Linked DNA regions of Mus musculus. The protein of the gene in region 1 binds, or shares a complex with, the protein of each later gene. Links are inferred from orthologs where the notes say so. Each region holds a gene or a part of one and is shown on either strand. Other genes may lie near its edges.

Region 1 (11,139 bases):
TCAGTGCTCTTAACCACTGAGCCATCTCTCAAGCCCAGTGACTCAAATCTTTAATTGCAGCACTCAGGAGGCACACACCTTTAATCCCAACACTTGGAAGGCAGGCACATAAGGATCACAATGATTTAAATTAAAAATCCACTTGTAAAAGGCAGCTTGAGAGCTGGGCGTGGTGGTGCACACCTTTAATCCCAGCACTCAGGAGGCAGAGGCAGGTGGATTTCTGAGTTCCAGGCCAGCCTGGTCTACAGAGTGAGCTCCAGGACAGCCAGGGTTACATAGAGAAACCCTGTCTCGAAAACAAAACAAAAAACTTAAAGCTGGCTGTGGATTTGAAGCACGGCTCTCTCCTTTAAACCCAGGAATGCTTGTTAAAGGAAAATCTAAAATCTCTGTCCCATATCAGAAGAACCACCTGATACGAGACAGAGGAAAACAAAAAAATAAAGGCCACTAATCTCATAACCTTTGTTTGACTTTTAACTTTTCTGGCCAGGCAGTGGTGGCACACACCTTTAATCCCAGCACTTGGGAGGCAGAGGCAGGCGGATTTCTGAGTTCCAGGCCAGCCTGGTCTACAGAGTGAGTTCCAGGATAGCCAGGGCTACACAGAGAAACCCTGTCTCGGAAAACAAAAAAGCAAGCTTTTCTGAAGGTATAAATATTATCTCAAAACCTGTAAGATTATTATGTAGTAGTTATACAGAACACTAATTCTGGAAATAAGTTTTGTAGCCTCCCTCAGCCTTGAAGCAGGCTGATCCAGACTTTGACCTTGCTGCCACTAAGGAGGAGATTACCTAGGGTCTACGCCTTCTGACCTGGATGGCTCTATTTGCTCTTCTCCAAGACTCTGCTTCCTGCAGAAAGGTCCGTGAGATGTTCCAGAGACACACCCTGTAGATCGCCTATGGGCTGGCTCCAGGCACCAAGAATGGGCTGGTGGGGGATGGGCCTACCCTCTTTATAAATACAGATTCAGTAAACTTCGAAGGCTTTGAACAGAAAGGTTTGTCTTGGCCTCATTCTTTTCTCACTGTCTGATCTCTTTCAGCCCCAGCCTGCCTTTCAGGGGAACCCAGTTCAAGTGGTTGCAGGCCGCTACAAATTTGATCTAGCTTCCTTTGTGTGCTTGCAGGTTGGAGTCTGAAACAGGTTAACTAGAAACAAAGTTTGTGTACTTAATAGATTGTGATGCGCAAGACATTCAAACTACTGAGTTCATAGGACACTGACATGAAGTTTTACATAATTTTTTAATACAAAATACTTAATCTTAAGACTCCCAAAAATAGCTGGGCGTGGTGGCGCACGCCTTTAATCCCAGCACTCGGGAGGCAGAGGCAGGCCGATTTCTGAGTTCCAGGCCAGCCTGGTCTACAGAGTGAGTTCCAGGACAGCCAGAGCTATACAGAGAAACTCTGTTTCGAAAAAACCAAAAAAAAAAAAAAAATAAAATAAAATAAAAAAGACTCCCAAATATAATCAAACTGAACTTTGTGAAATGCCTGGCAGAACTAGCTTCAGTACTATAAATAGTGTTACTGTGATAAAGTTAAATTCTTTCCTTTTTATTAGACAAAAAAGGGGGAAATGTTTCAGAATTATGCTCTGAACCCTGAGACTATTTACAGAAAACAAAACAAAACAAAACAAAACAACTGTCTAATTGTGGTGTGGCTTAGCCTTAGCACAAACCTATAATCCAAAAGCTTTCTGTTTATTGTAAACAAGATTAAATAAAGTTAACCATAGGTCAAGAGGTGAAGCAAGCAACCAAGTGATGTGACAGGGAGCGAAGCTAGGAAACTACCACAGAATAAGAAGTCAGGAGGATGGACCCAGGCACACAGGAAGGAGAAGGGAGGGACACTCACTTGGGGGAGGGGTTGCAACAGTGTGGAGATGGAGAGCTTTCCTTTTGGGATGTATATTCTCTCTCTCTCTCTCTCTCTCTCTCTGATCTCATCTAGCAGGCTTTCACTCCCAAGTCTGAATTGGTAAAATCAAACAATTTGTTAAAAACAACATACTGGGGACTGGAGAGATGGCTCACTGGTTAAGAGCACTGACTGTTCTTCCAGAGGTCCTGAGTTCAATTCCCAGCAACCACATGGTGGCTCACAACCATCTGCAATGGGATCCGATGCCCTCTCTTCTGGTGTGTCTGAAGAGAGTAACAGTGTATTCCCATATATAAAATAAATAAATCTTAAAACAAACAAAGAAACAGAAAACCCACCCACCATACTATTCTAGGTGCTGAGGACATAAAAGTGAGCCAAACCAAAGAACCTTCTGAGGCTCACGTTTGCAGGTGCAGCACCGCACTTCCTCTCACTGCCTTCCTGCTCAGTTCAGCTTGGAGATACCTTGCCTGTGGCTGTGGTGACCAGCTTCCCGAGTTAGCACTTGAAAAGTGGACACAGGAGGAACAAGAATTCAATGCCAGCCTTGGTTACATAGTTTAAAGCCAGCCTGGGCTATAGAAGACCCTGTTTCAAAAAAAAAAGCAAAAGCCAGGTATCACACAGTGGCTTACAATTGTACTGTAAGCACTTGGGGAGCTGAGCAAAGAAAATCACGAATCATGTGTTCTAAGCAAACTGGGTCAACAGAGTAATAAAAAGCCTTTACCACCCCTCTCCCCTGGAAGGACTTGTGGACACATCAGTTTACTTTCTCTACTGCTTTGTAAATTCCTTTATCCACATGTTGCAAACAAGGTTCTTGGAAAGTTCCAGAAAGTTTTCCCAGGCAGCTTCATATGCATATCCATTAGTTCAGCAAAGCTGACGCCAGTGAGCTTGTCTTGTTTCTGTGTCTATGATTTTTACTCATCTTTTCTTTGGGGTAGAACTTTACTTCTATGAAAGCTGAATACCCTGGAGCTGTCAAACCTCTGGGTCCCCAAACAAGAAACCAGCAGAGGCTTTGCTCTGACAAGGTTCCATATACCATGACAGTACCAGGACACACTGCTACCTCCTCAGTCCCATTCTCTCCCTCTGCCACCACCTGTGATGCCCTGACCCAGTTTGCTTCAACTCACCATCCCAGATAGGTAGTTTGGGCACAGGATACCCCAAGACTCATGATGAAGGAGTCCTTCATCTGTGAAGGCGGAAGGCCCCAGGTTGATCAAGGAGGCCCAGAAGCATGCAAGTCCAAGGAGGATATGGCTGCCCAGGAAGTAACACTGGAATGTAACTGACTGAAGGAAGTACATGAGTGAGGCCTGTCTTAAGAGTGAAGACCATTTAGGTAAACAGAGGCACATAGTGCACTCCTCTACAGACTTCTGATGAAGAAAAAGGATATGACCAAACGAGTAAAAGTGGGCACTACGGACAAGGGAAATCACATGCTTGCTTGCCTCCATACTGAAAGCTTACCTCTTCTTTGCAAGCCCCATGCCAGGTCTATGGTTGCCTATTAGCTGGTTTACTTATCCCAGCACCAAAAGCATATTAATGAAGCATTTCTAACTTTATGGGACAAGGGTCTAAGCACTCCCCGGCAACAACCAATCCTTCATTCACAAGTTGCTTATCCTGAGATGCTGTAATCTGAATTCAACATTACAAGGGGAGGATCCAGCCTTAGCCTCCCCGAGGGCACTGCAGTCTTCATTTCCCCATAATGGTACAGGACTGTAAGTTAGCAGAAACACCCTGGAGCTGTGGACATGCCTCAGTGTTTAAAAGTACACAGGAGTTTGATTGTCAGTATGCACACTGGGAATAAAGGCATGCACCACTACCACCCGGTTATAAATCTTTTAAAAAGCTTATAAAATAAAACTAAATTAAAGAGCTGGACAGGAGCCGGGCGTGGTGGCACACACCTTTAATCCCAGCACTTGGGAGGCAGAGGCAGGCGAGTTTCTGAGTTGTTCTGGAACTACAGAGTGAGTTCCAGGACAGCCAAGGTGATACAGAGAAACCCTGTCTCAAAAAAACAAAAACAAAAACAAACAGAGCTGGACAGGGTAGCGAATGCCTTTAATCCTAGCACCTAGGCAGAGGCAGGGAGGTCTCAAGTGGACTGAAGCCAGCTCTGTCTACATCATGAGTTTCAGGACAGTTAAAGCTACATAGTGAGATCCTGTCTCAAAACACCAAAAAAAATTAAAAACAATAAAAATGTGTTTGTTTGGTTTAGTTTAATTGGGGAGGGGAAATATGTGAGCCATGGACACGTGGAGGTCAGAGGGTACTTTCAGTAGCCTGCTTCTCTCCTTCTCATTTTGGGGACTGAAGCCAAGTCGTCAGTTTGGCAGCACATATCTTCACCTGATGAGCCGATATCTCCCCGCTCCCCATGTACAGCTTACGGAAGGAGCTTTTTTGGGTTCTGATTTGTAAAGATTGGTTCTCACTCTGTAACCTAGGCTACTTCCAACCTGTGGCAAACCTGTCTCAGACTTTCAAGTGTTAGAAACCACGTTATGCTTTGTTTATAAGGTATTTAATAAGGATCAAATGAATTATATTCAAGAGTTTCTCAGTCAGTAGGCTAGGTTATAACCACAAACAGCAGCTGTCAATGGAAGTTCACTTGTATTATTGAGAATCCTTTTGATGTTCATCACTTGCCCATGGTCCCCACACCTGTTTAATCTTGGGCCCCTCTGTCACCAGAGTGACGGAAGCTCTTCCAGAGCTCCAGCCTCATGGTCTGAGCTGAGCACCAAGCGTTGGAAGGCCTAGCAAAACTTAATGACCACTGCCAGAGATGCCCCACTTAGAGGCCAGCTTCCTCAGCATTCAAACCCCTGTCCTTGGCCTTCTCTTGAAGGCCTAAACACCCAGCACCTCTATCTGGGCTCTGGCTGTGATCCAGGGACTCAGCTTTCCTCACCGGCCCCTCCTAGCAGGGCTCACCTGAAGAGGGGTTTTGTGGCTGGGGCAGGCCCTCTGCTGCTCTGCTGTCCTTAGAAGAGTCCTTACAGTCAGTGGTCCTGAGCTGAGTGTGGGAGAAGAGCTGGAGGACGAAGCCAGGAGGGAAGCTGCCATCAGTGAAGTGTCGGACTTCAGCTGGTGCTGCGAATGTCTCTGTGGGTGACTCAGGAGACGGGGGGTCTGGAAGAAGGCCACACAGAAGTGTGTATGAGTAGAAGAGGACAGATCCCAAAGGCTCAAGCCCTAAGCTTCAGCCGAGCTCATGCAGAAGTTCTCTGGTGTCCACTTCCTCATGGACTTCATGCTCCAGTGTTACAGCCAGGCTCAGCAGCCCTAAGTCCCCTCACCTGGGTCAGGGTCCAAGATTTTGGTCATATGCCTGCTTCTCTTCTTTCTAGCAGGTTCATTCTCAGGGGACTCTTTCCATCTCTGACCACGGGGCTTTTTATTCCCTTGCTCTATGACAGGGGTAACTGCAAAAGAAAACAACTTTAGTACTTTCAGGCCACTCACTCTTTACCCGAGGTTTACTCTTTAACCTCAGGTTCCTGATAACACCTGCCCACCCCAGCCCCTTAGCACAGGATGTCCCACTAAACCAAAGCTTCCCTGTTGACTGACCGGGCAGCTCAAGGGGGCGGAGTCCTCTGGGCCGGAGCCTCTTAGGAAGGGATGGGTTGTCCTCGGAATCCAAGAGGACCACTATCTCTGCTGGCATCCTGACAGGATCCGGGTTGGAGATGGGGTCTGGCTGGCCATCCTGGCCTGACTCTGAGGGGGCAAAAGCCCACTGAGCTCGAGGGCCCCCACAGGCCCCACTTCTCCCTCAGCCCTCACCCTTACTACCTAGGCTGGGCAGGGATGGCTGGTCAGCTTGGATGTCTTGCAGAAGGGCAACCCCTTCACTCCAGGCTTCTAAGATGTTGCTCTTCTCAGAGGGGCTCAGGTCCAGGGTGTGAGGATGCTGCTCCAGGATGTGTGCGCGAGCAGTGTCTGCTGATGGGGACCGGATCTCAGCCCCACACACCATGCACAGCGCCCGTCCACTGCCTCCTGGGCTGTTCCCCACCAGGAACTCCTGCTCCCATGACACTTGCTGCTTGAGCTCCTCACAGCCTTCAACACCTGCTTCCAGCAGGTTAGGCCGAGGTGGCGGCGTCTTTTCCTGTTGGGTTACTGCAGAAAGGGGAATGTGCTGTGAAGATGCCAGGGCTGATGATGCTGTGTGGGATGGGTGATTCTTGTGCAATGTTCCATCCCCCCATCAGATCCTAGCCAACCAGCATGAGGCACACAGGGTGCCTGATACTGCACGTATCCCTTTACTTCTCATCTAGTCATGGTCCCACCCCCAGCTTCTAGAGCTGAAAGGCATCATATGCCTGCCTTTGATCATCTGGCAGGTATCATTCCTGTGAGGCTTCTTCTAGGTTTCCTCACCTAAGAGTCAACTCTGCCCACATCCGATTTGTAGGCCACAGTGTACATACTTCAGTCTCAAGTAGTCTAGCCTTAAATTTACTATGTAGTGAAGGTCAATTTTAAATTCCTAATCCTCTTGCTTCCACCATGCCTGGTATTTGAAGTGATAGGAATCAAACCCAGGGCTTCATGTTTGCTACACTCTACCAACTGAGACATAACCTTAACCACCCCCTTTAAAGTATTAACTAGTGGATGTATAATGTAGGGAGGAGGGTGGGGTGGGTGGGTGGATGGAGCCATGACACATGTGCCAAGGAGTGCAGTGGAAGGCAGAGGACAGTGCTGTAGGATGAAGTTCCATCCATCCACCCTCACATGGACTCAAGAGGCTTGAGGTCACGCGTGGTTACCTAGGATGGCCTTGAAATCAGAACCATGGGGGTGACTTTTACACACCCTCTCCCTTTCAGTTTCCAGTCTGAGATGCAGCCTTGGCTCCCTCTGGACCACCAGCTTGTGTGCTGAACCTAAGAAAATACTTTTCAGAAAATTTTATCTCAATGCTATGGTATCTTTTAATAAGTACTGCTGTCCTTTTAACAGCGGCTCACAAACATCCATTCTTCCAATAAAGCAAGGTTTCACTTGCTTTTTTTTTTTTAACTAATTTTTGTTCCATGTGCATTAGTGTTCTGCCTGCATGTACATGCTCTTGCATGAAGGCGTCAAATCCTCAGGAGCTGGAATTACAGACAGTTGTCAGTGGCCATGTGCTCTTAACTACTGAACCATCTTTCCAACCCGCCAACTTGCAGATTCTTAAAATTTAAATATATGCCACCATCAGCCGTGATAGGATCCTTTGCTTCTGTCAGACGCTCACACACCAACCCTTGGTTGGCTATATTTCTCCCTTTTCCCTCCTGAGACAGGGCTTCCCTGATAGCCTTTGCTGTCCCTACAACTCTTCCCCTTCCCTCTTCCTCCCAAATTCCTCACCCCCACCCCCATGCCTGGTGCTTCTCTTGACATTCTTATCTTTTAAGCTTCTACTACAGCTCATTAAACTCTGAGCACTTCCCGGCTAAGTTCTAAAGGCTTCCACAACCCTCCCATCAAACCTCTACAGATCCACTACAGCAATATCCAATTCTCCTGGTACCAACTTCTGCCCAAGTTTGGTTCTGATGCTGTGATAAACATAACCAAAAGCAACTAGGGGAGTATGTTGACTAGTTTTTGTCAACTTGACACAGCCATAATTAATAGGAGTCTCAACTGAGAAAATGCTTCCATATGATCAGACTACCCAAACCTATTGAACATTTTCTTATTTAGTGATGTGGAAAGGCCCAGGTCATTATGGGTGGAGCCATTCCTGGGTTGCTGGTCCTGGTTCTATAAGAAAGCAGATTAAACAAACATAAGAGCAAGTCAGTAAGCAGCACTCAGGACATCTACAGCAGCTCCTACTTCCAGGTTCCTGCCCTCGCTTCTTTTGAAAAGTAAATGGAACTGTGAATAAAATAAATTCTTTCTTCCCCGTATTAATAAACAAACAAACAAACAAACAAACAAACTGCTGAATTAGATCAACCTGTATACTTACTTTAAAGGTGTTTTAACATCAGAATGGAAGTCAGGGAATGTGCTGCATTGGGGAAGAGGTTTTGTCTGTGTTCCCACAAGTGAAAGACTATGGATTTTATCAAAATTGATAAAGATATGATCTGAATAAAGTCAGCTCTCACATGAAAGACAGGACTCAGGAAAGAGAGTTGCAGAAAGACAGCAACACAGACAACATAGGAAGCTGACTTGCCCTGCATGAGACCAGTTCAACAAACTCGCTGAAAAAAGACAGATCCTCAGTTCATTAGCAGACTGGGAAACTCTGCTGTGCAATGAAGAACAGCTATCAGGGCTACAGTTAGGAAGGAACGTCACATCAGCAGAGCTTCACAAGGACGTTCAGACTGGTAAGTCTGTGTGACCGATAACTATTTCTGTTGTGAAAGTTAAACTGTGTGTAATTTTTACCTTGACCAGAAAGGGGGAGTTACAGAGAAATTTTATTCCAGCAACTTGGATTTGGCTGGAAAGACACACCTTTAATCCCTCAGACTAGAATACAGACACACCCTTAATATGCACCTTTAATCCCTCAGACTAGAATACAGACACACCCTTAATATGCACCTTTAATCCCTCAGACTAGAATGCAGACACACCCTTAATATGCACCTTTAATCCCAAACAGTGTAAGTTAATTTGAAGGAAACTGCCATTTTTGAAAGTGACCTCTAGTTGAGGGGCACAAAAAGTGACAAATCAGAGAAAGATGTGATAAAAGAGTCAGAGATAGGATATGCTCAACAAATAGAAAGGAAAGGATGTAAAAGAACAGCGCGCCCGGGCACACACACACTCACACACACACACACACACAGAGACAGAGAGAGACAGAGAGAGAGAGAGAGAATGAGAAAAGTTTTACCAAGACAAGTTACAGAATGAAAGGAGCCAGAAGCCAGAAGATTAGAACAGATTGCCAGAGTTAGTTTGAGGCTAAGCAGAGCAATCCAGAAGCTGAGAGAAGCCTTTTGAATTGGTCAGCTTGGGGGAATTCAGGCAGGAAGAGCTGAGTTGAACCAGCCAACCAGAGTTGAGAAAGAGCTACAAAGGGTGAGTTTATTCACCAGTAAGCCTCCAAGATGACAGTTACACCGAGAGGACAGTTACATCTGGTGAGTCAGCATCAGAGGCTGAGACAGTCTAGGCCTAGATTAGATTGTATGGAGCCAGAAGCTTCCAGGCCTAAGCCTATGGATAAACAGAACAGAGAAAGAAATGCTCTGGGCTCAGTCCAAGCTGTCTATTTGCACAACCTGGGTGCAGCTCGCATCTCATCCCTTCATCTAAGAAAGTAAGTTACTTTTCTATTTCCCTAAGTTGCTTTTGGTCATGGTCATCACAGCAACAGTAACCATAACTAAGAAAAGAAAGGGTTACTTAAACCGTTAATTCATCATCTAGGGACACCAAGGCAAAGGTGAAGCAGAAACCAGAGAAAGAAAAGGGGCTTACTAGTTTTCTCCCAAGTTCCTTTAGCTACCTTTCTATACACAGCTCTGGCCCAATAAGCAATCAAGAAAATGCTCTATGGTAGACCCACAGGGTAATCTGACTGAGGCAACTCTTTGAATGAGGTTCCATCTTCCCAGATGGCAACCAAGATTAACCACAATGTAAATATCCCCCCCCCCCCCCCCCCGACAGGGTTTTCTCTATATAGCCCTGGCTGTCCTGGAACTTACTTTGTAGACCAGGCTGGCCTCGAACTCAGAAATCTACCTGCCTCTGCCTCCGGGGTGCTGGGATTAAAGGCGTGCACCACCACGTCCGGCTAATATAGTATATATTCTTTTGGGAGTGAAAATACTAAATTTGGGCTGGAGAGATGGCTCAGTGGTTAAGAGCACTGACTGCTCTTCCAGAGGTCCTGAGTTCAATTCCCAGCAACCACATGGTAACTCACAACCATCTGAAATGGGATTTGATGCCCTCTTCTGGTGTGTCTGAAGATAGCTACAGTATACTCATATACATAAAATAAATCTTTAGAAAAGAAGAAAGAAAATACTAAAGTCGATCAATGTGATGGTTTGTATATGCTTGGCCCAGAAAGTGGCACTAATAGGAGGTGTGGCCTGGTTGGAGTAGGTGTGTCACTGTGGCAGTGGGCTTTAAGAGCCTCATCCTAGCTGCCTGGAAGCGAGTCTTCTCCTAGTAGCCTTCAGATGAAGATGTAGAACTCTCAGCTCTGCCTGCAGCTTGCCTGCCTGGCCGCTGCAATGTTTCCACCTTGATGATAATGGACTGAACCTCTGAACCTGCAAGCTAGTCACTATTAAATGTCTACGAATTGTCCTGGTCATGGTTTCTGTTCACAGAAGTAAAATCCTAACTAAGACAATCATCTTATTGTTACCAAAGAACTGGCATGCAGAAAATGGCTGTCCTGCCAAAGGTCAGCCTGTCTCTTACAAGGAAAAGCCTTCCTTTTCTAGGGTGCTCCTGAAGGATGTGCAATGATGGCCATGTCCCTGTGGCTTGTGTTACCAGATCTCTGAGATGAGAAAAGTTCCCTCGGAGCAGAACTGCTCAATGCAGAGGCAGTCTGGTCCTCTTCTGTCTGTGCCTGTGAATCCGAGTACTATAACTCCTCCTCTACCAACTGGGACCTAGGAAAAGGGCACTTCTGGAATAGTCTAGGTTCTATAAGACTGGACCCCTAGTTTCAATTGATCTTTTTCTCTTAATTCTCCTAAACCAGGGTTCATGAAGGTCAACCAGCCCAGCCAGCACTTCTTCCTCACAGTACTTTTAATCTTGACTTCTGCTACTCAAAAGCATTCAGGAAACTACATGCCTTTGGTTCTCTTTCTGTTCCTCCTCTTGTCACCTACCTGGGTCTTTCCCCTTCCCTTCGGAAAATCACACTGACGACTATTTCCTCAACTCCCCACAGAAGCTGACCATCTCATCCCCCTCTGTGCCATATTTCCTCCACAGCACAGTATAGGCCCTCAACAGATGTCTGTTTGTGTCTAAATCTCAAGCACTAACAGCACTAGACATCAATGACAAGGGACTGACCTCAGCTCTTTGATCCCTTTGGCCTCCTCCTTTGGGTAATTCTCACCTGCTGCCTTCTGACAACTCCCATACTTTCCTTCAGCAGTAGTGGGACTGACTGAAGGGCCATAGACTTGTACTTGGTAGCTAGCTGAGTATTCACCAATGAACT
Region 2 (11,139 bases), on another chromosome or scaffold:
CTGGAGTTACCCACACTAACAAGTACACACAGAGAATACACACAAAGCCACCGAATGAGCAAATAAATTGAGAGCAACTCTGGAACCAGTTCTTAAAGTCACAGAGAAACAAAAGGCCTGAATCCTAGAGGCCAAGAAAACTGTGGATCAAGTTCAACACACTTCCGTGCAAGGGGTGGCGGTGACTCACACCTGTAACCTTGGCATTCAGGAAAATTACGGATTTGAGGCCAGCCTGGGGTAACATGAATCTTTACCTCAAAATACAGGCATATAAGCATGCATTATCTTTCTAACCATCAACTCCTAAGTCCTTTAAAAAAAAAAAAAAAAAAAAAAAGATCCAGGAGGCATTAAAGTACTGATTACTGAAGTAATTAATGATTAAGCCTAAGGCCTCAAGAGACCTAGACAATACAGGGTAAAGTCCACACTCCTCTAAAATACCGGATAGAGTCTCCATGCCTTGCTCTGCCTTGCTCTTCAAAGGAGGGAGAAAAGGGTTATTAGTAATAAAATGACGAAACACTCCAAAAGGGTTGTCAGCAAAGCCCTTACAAAGAAAACATCTCCTCAAGCCTCATTAGTATTAAACGCTTTTGTCATCAGTTTAGCTTCCCAGTCTTCCACAGAGCCACAGCTTATTTAAATACATACCCGATTCATTGGCTAGGAGTGCCCAACCTTCAGACTACATTTTATTACTTTTTCCAGAAAATATTTACTGAGCAGTATCTACTGTACATAGCACAGTGACTCATGTGCTAGATAGATTCTGACAGGCCTGGCTGCAGCCACTCACTGTGACCCCAGTAGTACCAAGCCCTGAAGCCACCAAACAACCATTCTAACAGCAGAAGAATGCAGGAAATGTCTCTATCTTAGCCTTAAACACAGTTTACATTGGTCAGGATAAATACAGAGACACTAAAAAAGATTCTATTTAAGAACATTGCTCACTCTCTACTTACTGTGTGGATTCAGATTCCCATGGGGCAGAGCACAGGTGCTAATAGCATCTTACACTACCAAGTCTCACCGACTTGTATTTAAGAACAAAAAGCACTGGAGGCAATATTTGAAGAATGGGTAGGTATGAAAACACTCCACAAACATTACCGAGTTCTATGTACAGTGATTGCTTGAAGTTTAAAAGTCGGGGTTAACTAACATTTCTTATTAATGTCAAATCAAAACATCAACAGTTAGATCCGAGATGACAGCAATGCCGGCCCAGATCAGATGGCACTGCTGTCACCGCTCAAGCAAACCTTCATTTCCTTCTTTTTCTATCAACCCTGACATTTCCATGTGGTGGAAACACTGCCTGACTTCCAGACCCCTTTCAGCAGATTCAACACAGCAGCACAAAGTTCACAGCCACAAGTTGCACATAAAGGGTTTATTTTAATGTTTTAAGGAAGGATAAGAGTTACATCATAATTATAAAAATTACTTACAGAATTAACAGTTGTACTGTGTATACTTCTAAATGCAGAGAACAGGGAACCGTCTACACGTTGTATAAAATAAAATTAAAATTAAAAATGAATTCAAGCTCAAGAAAATGAGGTCATTTATCTAGTTTTAAATGTGAACACGAAGACCTCTGAACTCTACTCATTCGTTCGAACTGCACCAATGATGGAAACTACAGAGAGCGCAGCATTCCCAAGGAACACAGACATTTCCACCACAATTACTTGTAGTATTTTTCCTGTGTCATCTTTGGAGGACTTTCATCTCTTAGACAATCAGTGTTAAGTGTTTTCAGGCACTACAATTTGTGACGGTCAGAACAATCTTCCTTCTAATGGGTCTACAGTGTTCAGAGATTCAGGCCCAATGCACTTTGGGGTTTGGCACATAAAACAAGAATAGAAATGAAATCTGGCTTAGAAGCAACTGTGATCTTTAGAGCGTGCACAGTCCCTTCGAATGCTGCGTGACATATACAACTGGAATCACCTTCGGTCGGCGCTACGACTGCTTCACCAGTTCGTCTTTACCCTACAACCACTAGAACAGCACAGTAAGCAAATATACAGGAAACCAAAAGCAAACTGAAAGAAAGAGAGAAAGAAAGAAAGAAAGAACCTAGGTCTCTTTGACATGCAATTTTAGTTTTAGTTACATTGAACATTCTACTTAGAAGAGAGCATGCAAAAATGGATGGTCTGCTTTAAGGTTCTTCTCTGAAGTTTACGTGGCAGCCTGACGTCACACACGCACGCACACACGATACGATACTAGAGCAGGTAAGTGAAGAAGGCCAGTAAATTTTATACACAGATTCACGGCCCGTGTTGCCACAAGCCCCATGAAAATTTTGGAAATTAATGCTGAACTCCTAAATGAGGAATCAACATTCAGATACCAGAACAATGCAAGCAATGCATGCAGATCTGAACTGTGAGCCTAAGGGAAGTCCAAGGTGGCAGGCCCAGGAGTCTGTCACCATTAAGGGTGGTGGAAGCCACCAAAAGAAAGAGGGTGGGGTGGGGGAATTAAAAAAAAAAAAAAGAAAAAAAAAACAATTAAAAGACAAACAAACCAAACCTTCCCCTTCCCTCAACCTTATGTAAAGGCAATAAATGGAATCGTGATCAAAATCATCCCCGTCCTCACGCTTTCCTCCTCCAGCCTGGGAGTCCACGGGGAACCAAAGTTAACTGAGGTGGCTTGTAGAAAACCACAATGTAAGTCATCAGATAGTGGCAGACAGGTTCTAACTGACCCAGTCCTTGGGACACTTCAAAAGGAGTTTTACTTTCTAGTCACCATGCCATGTTCTGCACCGTTAGTGCATGCAGGACGTACTCACACCCACTTGTGCCACAGATGACAGCATGGGCTGTGAGTCAGACTCAGCTCGGAGATTTACATGCAGGACGACACCTGGTCACATATACTAGAGGCACCAAAGACTAGGGTATATCATACTGCCTTGAGAAGCCTGTCCCTGGTGCCTATGAGAAAACACTGAGCACACAACGATTGCAGCCAAGGACAGAACTGAGGTACTATGTTCACATGGTGAGCAGTTGTGACCACCCAGCAGTGTAAGGTGGTCAGCCTCTGTGAAAACTAAATGGATAGCCAATAACCATGTGCCTCGAACAGTGAAAAATTTCTTGCATCAGGAAGAACCCCAACTAGGTAATTGTAACTATACTTGGCCAAGCCTCTGGTGTTTGCTTGACAGTATCCAAGACTGTCCAGCCACAGATAGGTTCAACCTCCGTGAGAAACTGGTTTTTACAAACCATCTTTCTACCAGCTGACAAGCTACCATGGTTCTTCCAAAACAAAGTGAGAGCAAGCAGATGTTTGGCTAGTCTACCAACTGCATTTCAGTTCTATTTCAGCTTTAAGCAACCTCCCAGGAATAATCCTGAATGCACTTGATGGCGAAGAGCTGCGATCCACCCATAACTGGCAAGCATGACCTTCCCAGCGACACACACATCATAGACATGCAAAGCCCGGAGGCCATGGAGGGAATAAACCTGCGTGAATAGCACACCTGGGGCAGGAACAGACACTGCCACAACAGGATCAAGGCAAGAAGCCATACTGGTCTAACATTCTCTGTGGGGAAAGCTAGGAGGAGAGGGAGTGAGGGAGGAAGGGAGAAGAGGCCTTCTGACCATAACCATGTATCAATAGTAGTAATCAAAATTACAAAGTCCCAGAGAACTTGATAGAAGGCAACAAGGCCATCCTTAAAACTTACATTTCTAATACAAATGCACTGTTCTTGCAGGAATTCACCACATATACAAACCATTGATGTAGTGTTGCCTTTTAAGTCCATGTACTAAGATCCCGATGACAGGTGTGTACAAATGGACCAATGTGCCATCTAAAAACACATCTTTATTATTCCATGTGAACCAAGGACCTGGGTCGTGGTTTAAAAGTACTTACGATTAAAGAGTAAACAACAGAAACAAATAATAACAAAAACCACAAAAAAACAAAGCTTAGAATTGAAGGCAGCCTTTTACCCAGATTTCTCAACAGTTTACTAAAGACTACTGTGGGTCATTGACTGTTTATGGCTAATTTATACCTGGACTCAGCTAAAAGCCTCCAGACTGAAATGGTACTCAGAAATTCTGACTTTTTAAACAACCTAAATGTCTCTGTGTGCTTCCTGTGCCCAAATTTAATTTTAAACAAAGAGCAGGCATATTATAAATATGACTGACTTGGGTCAAGCACTCCTGTTGAACTGGAGAAAACGTTATCACCCCCACCCCAATCCCCAAGGAAAGGAGAGCCAGCGGTGAGTGCCTCTGTGTGTGTATAATATATACATAGGCACACAGATGCAGATCTAGACAGGTAGCTATATAGATACATAATCTCTCAAAAAAGGCAGTAACAAAAATAACAAACTATGCTTGCATTGTGGCAGCAGAATAAGACAGTGTCAGAGTGAAGGGAAAATGGTTACAATCTATCCAGGTTTAAATGACTATGATACTAGCTTAACGTTTACCACCTTGCTTGTAACCCCCAACAGACAGCTTTCTTGTAAGAGGGAAGACCCCCTCACACAGATGCTTTGAAGAGGGAGGACTCCCCTCACAGATGCCTTGTGTTCGAATCAGTCTGCACTATTCAGAACAACACCAGCTCTGCTGGTGGAGATTGTGGGTTCGCAGGGACATCTAAGCTTTCATTAAACTGGAAAGCAATCAAGTCTTTATGTCTACAAATTATACATTTAATAGTTCCACAAATTTGGCAAAGTTTGTGATGACATCTAGGATGTTTTCACCAAATCGTAGACGTAAATATGGAAATCGTCATCAAACTTGATGAAATAGACAGAGGGCTTGGCCTCTACTTGGTGGATGACCATGCCAGTCCTTTTCGAGCCGTCTTCTTTGGCATATTCCACTTGCTTGCCTACCAGGCTGTCCACAACTTCTCCTGGCTCCCTTTCTGCTGGAGGCGAATCATCTGTATTTAAAAAGGAAAAGGAAAAAAAAAAAAAAAGTCAAGTCAATATTTAGATAGATCACTACCACATTTTGCAGCAAATATAAACACTTCTAAGATATCCTGAGTTTATCATGATCTCGTCAGGTTAACACTTCCTTAAAGGATTACTCTGTAAGTATTTCAGGCACATGGTCCATGTTCCCAGACTCTCATATATGTGAATGCAGCACCAAAGTGGCCAAGGGCAGTCTGGAAGGTAACTGCCAGGAGGTACTTTAGCAAAACACTTCTCCCATGTCTACTGAGCCCCATCCAAACAGATATGAGTGATTTAAATATTATAACTCAAACTCCTTGGGATCACATTAAATTATAACCACAATCATCTAAAATTAATTTTAAATGGCTTTGAAAGCGACTTTCCTACAGGGCTTCCTGAGAACACACTGCTCATCCCAGTGATAAGGCCTGCCCACTGGGGCCCACCCACCTGTAGATCTTATAACTTCCCCTCCTCAACTTCTATGTAGCCAACCATCTTCCACCCAGTTTCAGAATAAAGGAACTAAAGTCTCCATGCTTTACAAGAAAGCACTAGGTGAACTCCACCCAGGGCAGGAAAATGGAAAATCAGATCCCAGAGGATAGCCCAGGTAGCAGCACCATCCCTGAGAGCCCTAGGTTGTAGTTGTCCCTAGGAAAACACAGACCGACAACAAGCCAAACAAAGTGGGATGGGGATGAGACTACTTTAAACCTCTTCTTAGAGGAGCAGACGGGCTCGTGGGTGGCCAAATGTCTTAGGCACACAAGGCAACCTCTGTTAACCTTGGCATACATGGAAGTGCAGGAGTTTACCAGCACAGCGTCCTAGTGTGGCTCATAGAACATGTCTCTATTAACAACCTTTACCTCCAACCACAGCAAGTCTCTCACTGAATAACCATGTGGAACCTACTATAGTGATTCCTGGTACAAACACAATATAAACTACACATGACGACACAGTCAGTTCTTTTAAACTGGAAAGTGAAAAAAGAAATACTTTTTCTAAAAAATTCTCTTCCCTCAGTTGGCATGCACAGAAAACTTCCAAGTTTACCAAGAAATTCCAAATGTATGATCCCAACTGATTGACAGAAACTCTATAGAGTCCAGACCTTCTCCTGAGGCTTACAAAAGGACTGGATTCAACCCAGTGACGGGGCTGCTTGAGAACTACCAAGAAGGTCAGCACCATTCTAATGGGAGACAAACTGTCCATACAACCTACAGGAAATACAGAAGCTTGGAAAGGCACGAGATCAAGTCATTAGAAAAGATGCAGCATTGTGTGTCAAGGACTTGCATGTCGATTCCTAGACTAACAGCACTTGTTTTGATGGGCATCTCTCTAAAGGCTGCAGAATGCTTTTAAAGAACATAGTTCTGAATATAAATCCTAGAGTATATAAACAATTGCCTTTGTAAATACGAACAGTAACTTTTTAAAAATGAAGCAGTCATTCCAGGCCAGACATGTTCATCAGTAATTCCTCTTAACTGGCTTCCTCATAGCAACAACTTTTTAAAAAGTTTTTCAAAGAAAAATAGAAATGACTGTCACAATGCTAATAGTGTGTGCCTGCTAGCCATAAGGTCTCAGGTCAAGAGTCCACGTGTCTAAGGAGAGGTCCTTTTAGAACAGGTTTAGTCTGATGGGCTACAGTTCCAGCACTCAGGAGGCTGGGCTAGGGAATCCAGAGTTTGAGGTCTTGATAAAATAGCAAGACACTCTTTCAAAACAAAACAAATCAAATACTAATTATTGAATCAACAGGCTTATCCAAAAATTACATAAGAAAACAATACCATTTATAGTAACCTTAAAAAATTCTTAGGGGCCAAAGAAAGGAATGTTTAGACTCTAAAAATTACAAAAGACTGCTGTAAAACGTCACACACCCAAAGCTTTAAAAAAAGCATCCGCAGTCACAGAGTAGAAGAGTTGCTAACACTTGTTATTAAGTGAGGGCAGCACACTCTGCAGGCAGACATGACCGACAGAATCCCAGTAGACCTCTTTACAGACACTGTCAAATTGACTTCAAAATTCATATGCAACTGCAAGAGACCCAGACTAAACAGCCAAGGCAGCCCTGGGATGAACTACGGCAGTGGTCTCACACTTCTGATTTCAATATTTACTACAGAACAATGCAATGCAGTGTGGGAGCTGCAAGGGGAGAGAGAGAGAGAGAGAAACAGAGGAACAGAGCTGGGGATCCAGACATATTCACATATCCACGAAAGGATTCAACAAGATGTCAAAGCCATTCTATGTAAGAAAGAGTAGTCTTTTCAATACATGGTGCTCAGCCACATGGGGATCTACACAAAAAAGAGTGAGCTGACCTCTTCTACCCTGACCTCACACTATACCACATGTTATTTAAAAAACATATCCAACTATGAACCATGTGAAAGAAAACAAAAGGCCTAACGTTAGGATCTTTATTCGGCAAACCTAAAAACAGCAAAAGCACAAGTAACAAAAGACACGAACTGGACCTGAAAGTTAACCACCTCGGTGTCTACGATCCTCAAGATGAGAAAAGACAGAGGAAATGGTACTGCACACCTGCAATCCAGCATGGGGACATGATCACAGAGCAGGAAGACGGAGACTTTGAGGCCAGTTTGGATCATATAGTTACCTGAAGGCCAGCCTAAGCAACATGGCAAGGATCTGTTGTGATGGACCCCCCTACCAAGTGAAAAGACAGCCCAGAGAAGGAGAACATCTTGAAATCCAATTTCTAATAAAAGACATGTATCTACTGACTCTAAGCAATCATTTCACCAGAGATACACAAATGTCTACTAAGCACACAAAAAGATTCCTATGGCATCACTGGTCACCAGGGAAACACAAAGTAAACCACAACGGGAAACTACATCCTCAGTAGAAGAACTATTAGAATGAAAAAGCACGTGCTGGTGAGGAGGAGAGCAGACCCTCGCCCACTTGAAGACAACGCAACCTGGAGATGACACCAAGACCAAAGAATTCCACTTAGAAGTACACACTAAGGAAAAATATGAACACACACCCACAGAGGATCTCACATACTGTTTTTATAAAACACCAATATTCATAGTAACCAAAAATACAGGAACAACCCAAATATGAATCAACAGCTAGACAAATGAAATACAATATAATCCTAACGCTTGTTCCAACATGAGGGAAATGCTAAATAAAAATCGAGTCACAAAAGTCCACACAAGACCCATTCACATGAAACTCCACAGCAGTAAAATTACTGGCTGCTTAGGGCTGTGAGTAAAGGACAGGGAGATCAGAAATAAAAAAGCTGGGCATGGTGGAGGCAGGGGTTTGAGGAATTCAAAGTCATCTTCAACTAAGGAGAAAGGTCAAGATCATCCTAAACTCCCATTGCAAACTAGGGGTGGTAAGCAGCAGGGCCTTGGTGATGCAGCAGTGCTCTGAGGCTAATGGCCTGGACAAGCATTCGTGGCTGTGAATATACTAAAACCCACTGGATTGACTTTACAGCACAAAAACAAACCCCCGAACCAAAAACCAAACCAAACCAATTAAACGGAAAAATGAAACTGCTCTATGTTTGAAGCAAAATCTGCATAGACGGCCGGGAGGCCTTTAATCCCAGCACTTGGGAGGCAGAGACAGGTGGATTTCTGAGTTCGAGGCCAGCCTGGTCTACAAAGTCCAGGACTTTGGACTGGGAGTTCCAGGACAGCCAGGGCTACACAGAGAAACCCTGTCTCAAAAAAACCAAAACAAACAAACAAAAAAACCCTGCATAGACACAGGGTACACTACTGTTAATCCCAGCACTCTGGAGCTCAAGGCAAGAAAGAGATTGATTAAATTCAAGGCCAGTTTAAGTTATAAATAAGTTCCGGGCCAACCTCTGCTACATGGCTGTCTCAAAGAACAAAGCCCGGCTCCAGAAGCCCATGTCATTACTCCACTGCCCACTCTTCCCTGCATCAGCTGTGACTGAACGTTCTCTCCAGGTCAGCTTTGCTTTTGTGATGCTAGGGATATAAGACAGGGCCTCACAGGCGTTTGGCAAGCCCCCTCTCTAGCACTGAGATTTATCTAAAGGCTCCAATTAACTGTTTTCTGAAACCAGCTTCCTTGCCAATTCAATATACACAGATGAAATCATCAATGTCAATGACCTGCTCCAAAATAAATCATCTAGGGGAAGGACCACACTTGCAATGGGAACAGCTACTGAAAGCAACAGAACGGATTCACTTTATTCCTACATGGCTACATACTTCCCATTAACAAAAAAAGTCCTCACTGAAATGTCTCTAAATATTTAAAATAACCTTCCTAAGTGATCATTCCGTCACCTAAGGTTCACAAGTAAAAATTCCTTTCAAATCACCAGTGTGTGAGACTTACTGGAATCAGGCATGATGCGGAGGTCGCCTTCTTTGTAGTCATCGAGGAGCTGGTACATGTACAAGACAGGGTCTTTCTCATAGGTGATGTAAAACCATGTGTTCATGACAGGCGCCCGTGCCAAGACCATCCCCCTCCACTCATCTTTAGAGCCGTCCTCTGTCTCAAACATGTGCTCCACTGCTTTGCCGATCATTGTGTCCGCTAAGTGTGCATCGCTGATCCGAGATGTTGCTGGAATTAGAAGAGCAAAATACTTGAGCAAGTGTTTACCAAAGGATCTCAGACGAGCAACTAAACTACCAAACCAAATGCCAGGGTCTATCCCAGATGTGGACTAAACAGGAAGAAATCTGCCCCGAGGTGAGTAACAATCTGTTCTGTTACTCTCTGTGCTCAGTTGCTCAGTATTCTATCAGTATTATTATCCACACGCTGTGGGTGGTTTCACTGGTTAGCTAGCAGTTACTTTAAGCTATGAATTAGCATGAGACTCACTGGTAGCAACAAGAGCAGAGTCCTCACGCACAGCACACATGCTGCCTCTTCCTGTATCATGTGAAGTCCTCTGAGCTCTCCATGTGCCCACCCACCCTCACATACATAATGCAAAGTATTAACCTAACATGCATGTGTTATAGTTTTTAAACAAACAGAGGTTCACTTCTCATCACTGCTCTGGGAAGTTATTCTTATGCCTATAATGTATTCTCTATAGCAACTAGAGTGATCACTATGGTCCCTAAAGAAAACTATCATTTAAAATGTCTCCATCCTTCAGCCCCTCTGTCTCTCCTCAACTTGAAAGTTGGCTCAGTCTACCCAAAGTTCTTTCTATCTTCAGGGGACAGGCTATTTCCTTAGCAAGATTGCTAGAGCTCTCCAGGACAACTAGGGACAGTGGCACCACCACCTTCCCCATGTGCTGATCCGTTCTTAGTTAGCAGTCCCATTACCTAACGCTACTTTGTTTTATGGAGCGGCTGACCTGGGTAGTGTCTGGATATCCCCATGAAGCAGGGCCATTTCTGTTCCTAGCACTTAGAGCAGTTTCAGGATGACTGAGTGGTACCACAGACAGCCCAGGGATAGCCCTAGGTCTACTCTGTCATTCATACAAAAAGCAAGTAAAGAATTACCAGCCTTTTTGTGTGTTGCTTTTAACATGGGACAGGTTATAAAGGGTGTCTCTCCAGTCCTCACAGTCTAGACAACTGTCTTTCAAACTACTCAGTTCTCTTTTCTAGTCACTCACTATTAAAACTGACTTTTCTAGTCAGTTTCTCTATTAAAATCCAAAGGAAAAGAACTTCGGACTTTCTCAGCAAGTATAATGCTATTCAATGTACTTAGAACATACAAGTTGTTTGTGGTATTACATATACAACAGCAATCAGAAACAGCATGAAATAGGCCCTGCAGAACACTTAAAACATATGTGGAAGCACAAGTGCACCCCCAACCCCAATGGCTTCTTCAAACTAGGAATCATTAAAAATTTAGTAAAAGTAAAAAAATGGGAGCAGGGCGGGGGAGGGTATAGGGGACTTTTGGGATAGCATTTGAAATGTAAATGAAGAAAATATCTAATAAAAAATCCAAAAAAAGTAAAATAATTTCACATTTTTGATTTTTTGTTTATTTGTTTGACTTTGTTTTTCGAGGCAGGGTTTCTCTGTGTAGCCCTGGCTGTCCTGGAACTCACTTTGTAGACCAAGCGGGCCTCGAACTCCCAAGTG

The links.
Region 2: the proteins of Spindoc (region 1) and Spin1 are in contact, whole or in part, in a crystal structure (PDB 7CNA), measured with the Homo sapiens proteins. The link is inferred for Mus musculus from reciprocal best matches to the Homo sapiens genes SPINDOC and SPIN1. Residues at the interface, in NP_612480.1 of Homo sapiens: Phe256, Ala258, Pro259, Ala260, Val262, His264, Phe265, Thr266, Asp267, Ser269, Phe270, Pro271, Gly273, Phe274, Val275, Leu276, Gln277, Leu278, Phe279, Ser280; in NP_006708.2 of Homo sapiens: Met154, Thr169, Tyr170, Glu171, Pro174, Pro206, Val209, Val210, Leu213, Lys216, Gln217, Val218, Glu219, Tyr220, Thr229, Val232, Val242, Tyr243, Ile245, Phe247, Asp249, Asp250, Tyr254, Val255, Tyr256, Asp257, Leu258, Val259, Lys260, Thr261.

The regions. Positions count from the first base shown.
Region 1 is NC_000085.6:7,368,771-7,379,909, forward strand, and holds part of Spindoc (spindlin interactor and repressor of chromatin-binding protein), read right to left. Parts: intron 6,857-11,139; coding exon of another isoform or gene 6,740-6,856; intron 6,081-6,739; coding exon 5,751-6,080; intron 5,676-5,750; coding exon 5,526-5,675; intron 5,378-5,525; coding exon 5,252-5,377; intron 5,085-5,251; coding exon 4,887-5,084; coding exon of another isoform or gene 4,873-4,886; exon of another isoform or gene 2,373-4,872; intron 1,993-2,372; exon of another isoform or gene 1-1,992. UniProt on the Homo sapiens protein: Chromatin protein that stabilizes SPIN1 and enhances its association with histone H3 trimethylated at both 'Lys-4' and 'Lys-9' (H3K4me3K9me3).
Region 2 is NC_000079.6:51,142,797-51,153,935, reverse strand, and holds the end of Spin1 (spindlin-1), read right to left. Parts: intron 9,635-11,139; coding exon 9,401-9,634; intron 4,975-9,400; coding exon 4,775-4,974; 3' UTR 1,374-4,774; downstream 1-1,373. UniProt on the Homo sapiens protein: Chromatin reader that specifically recognizes and binds histone H3 both trimethylated at 'Lys-4' and 'Lys-9' (H3K4me3K9me3) and is involved in piRNA-mediated retrotransposon silencing during spermatogenesis.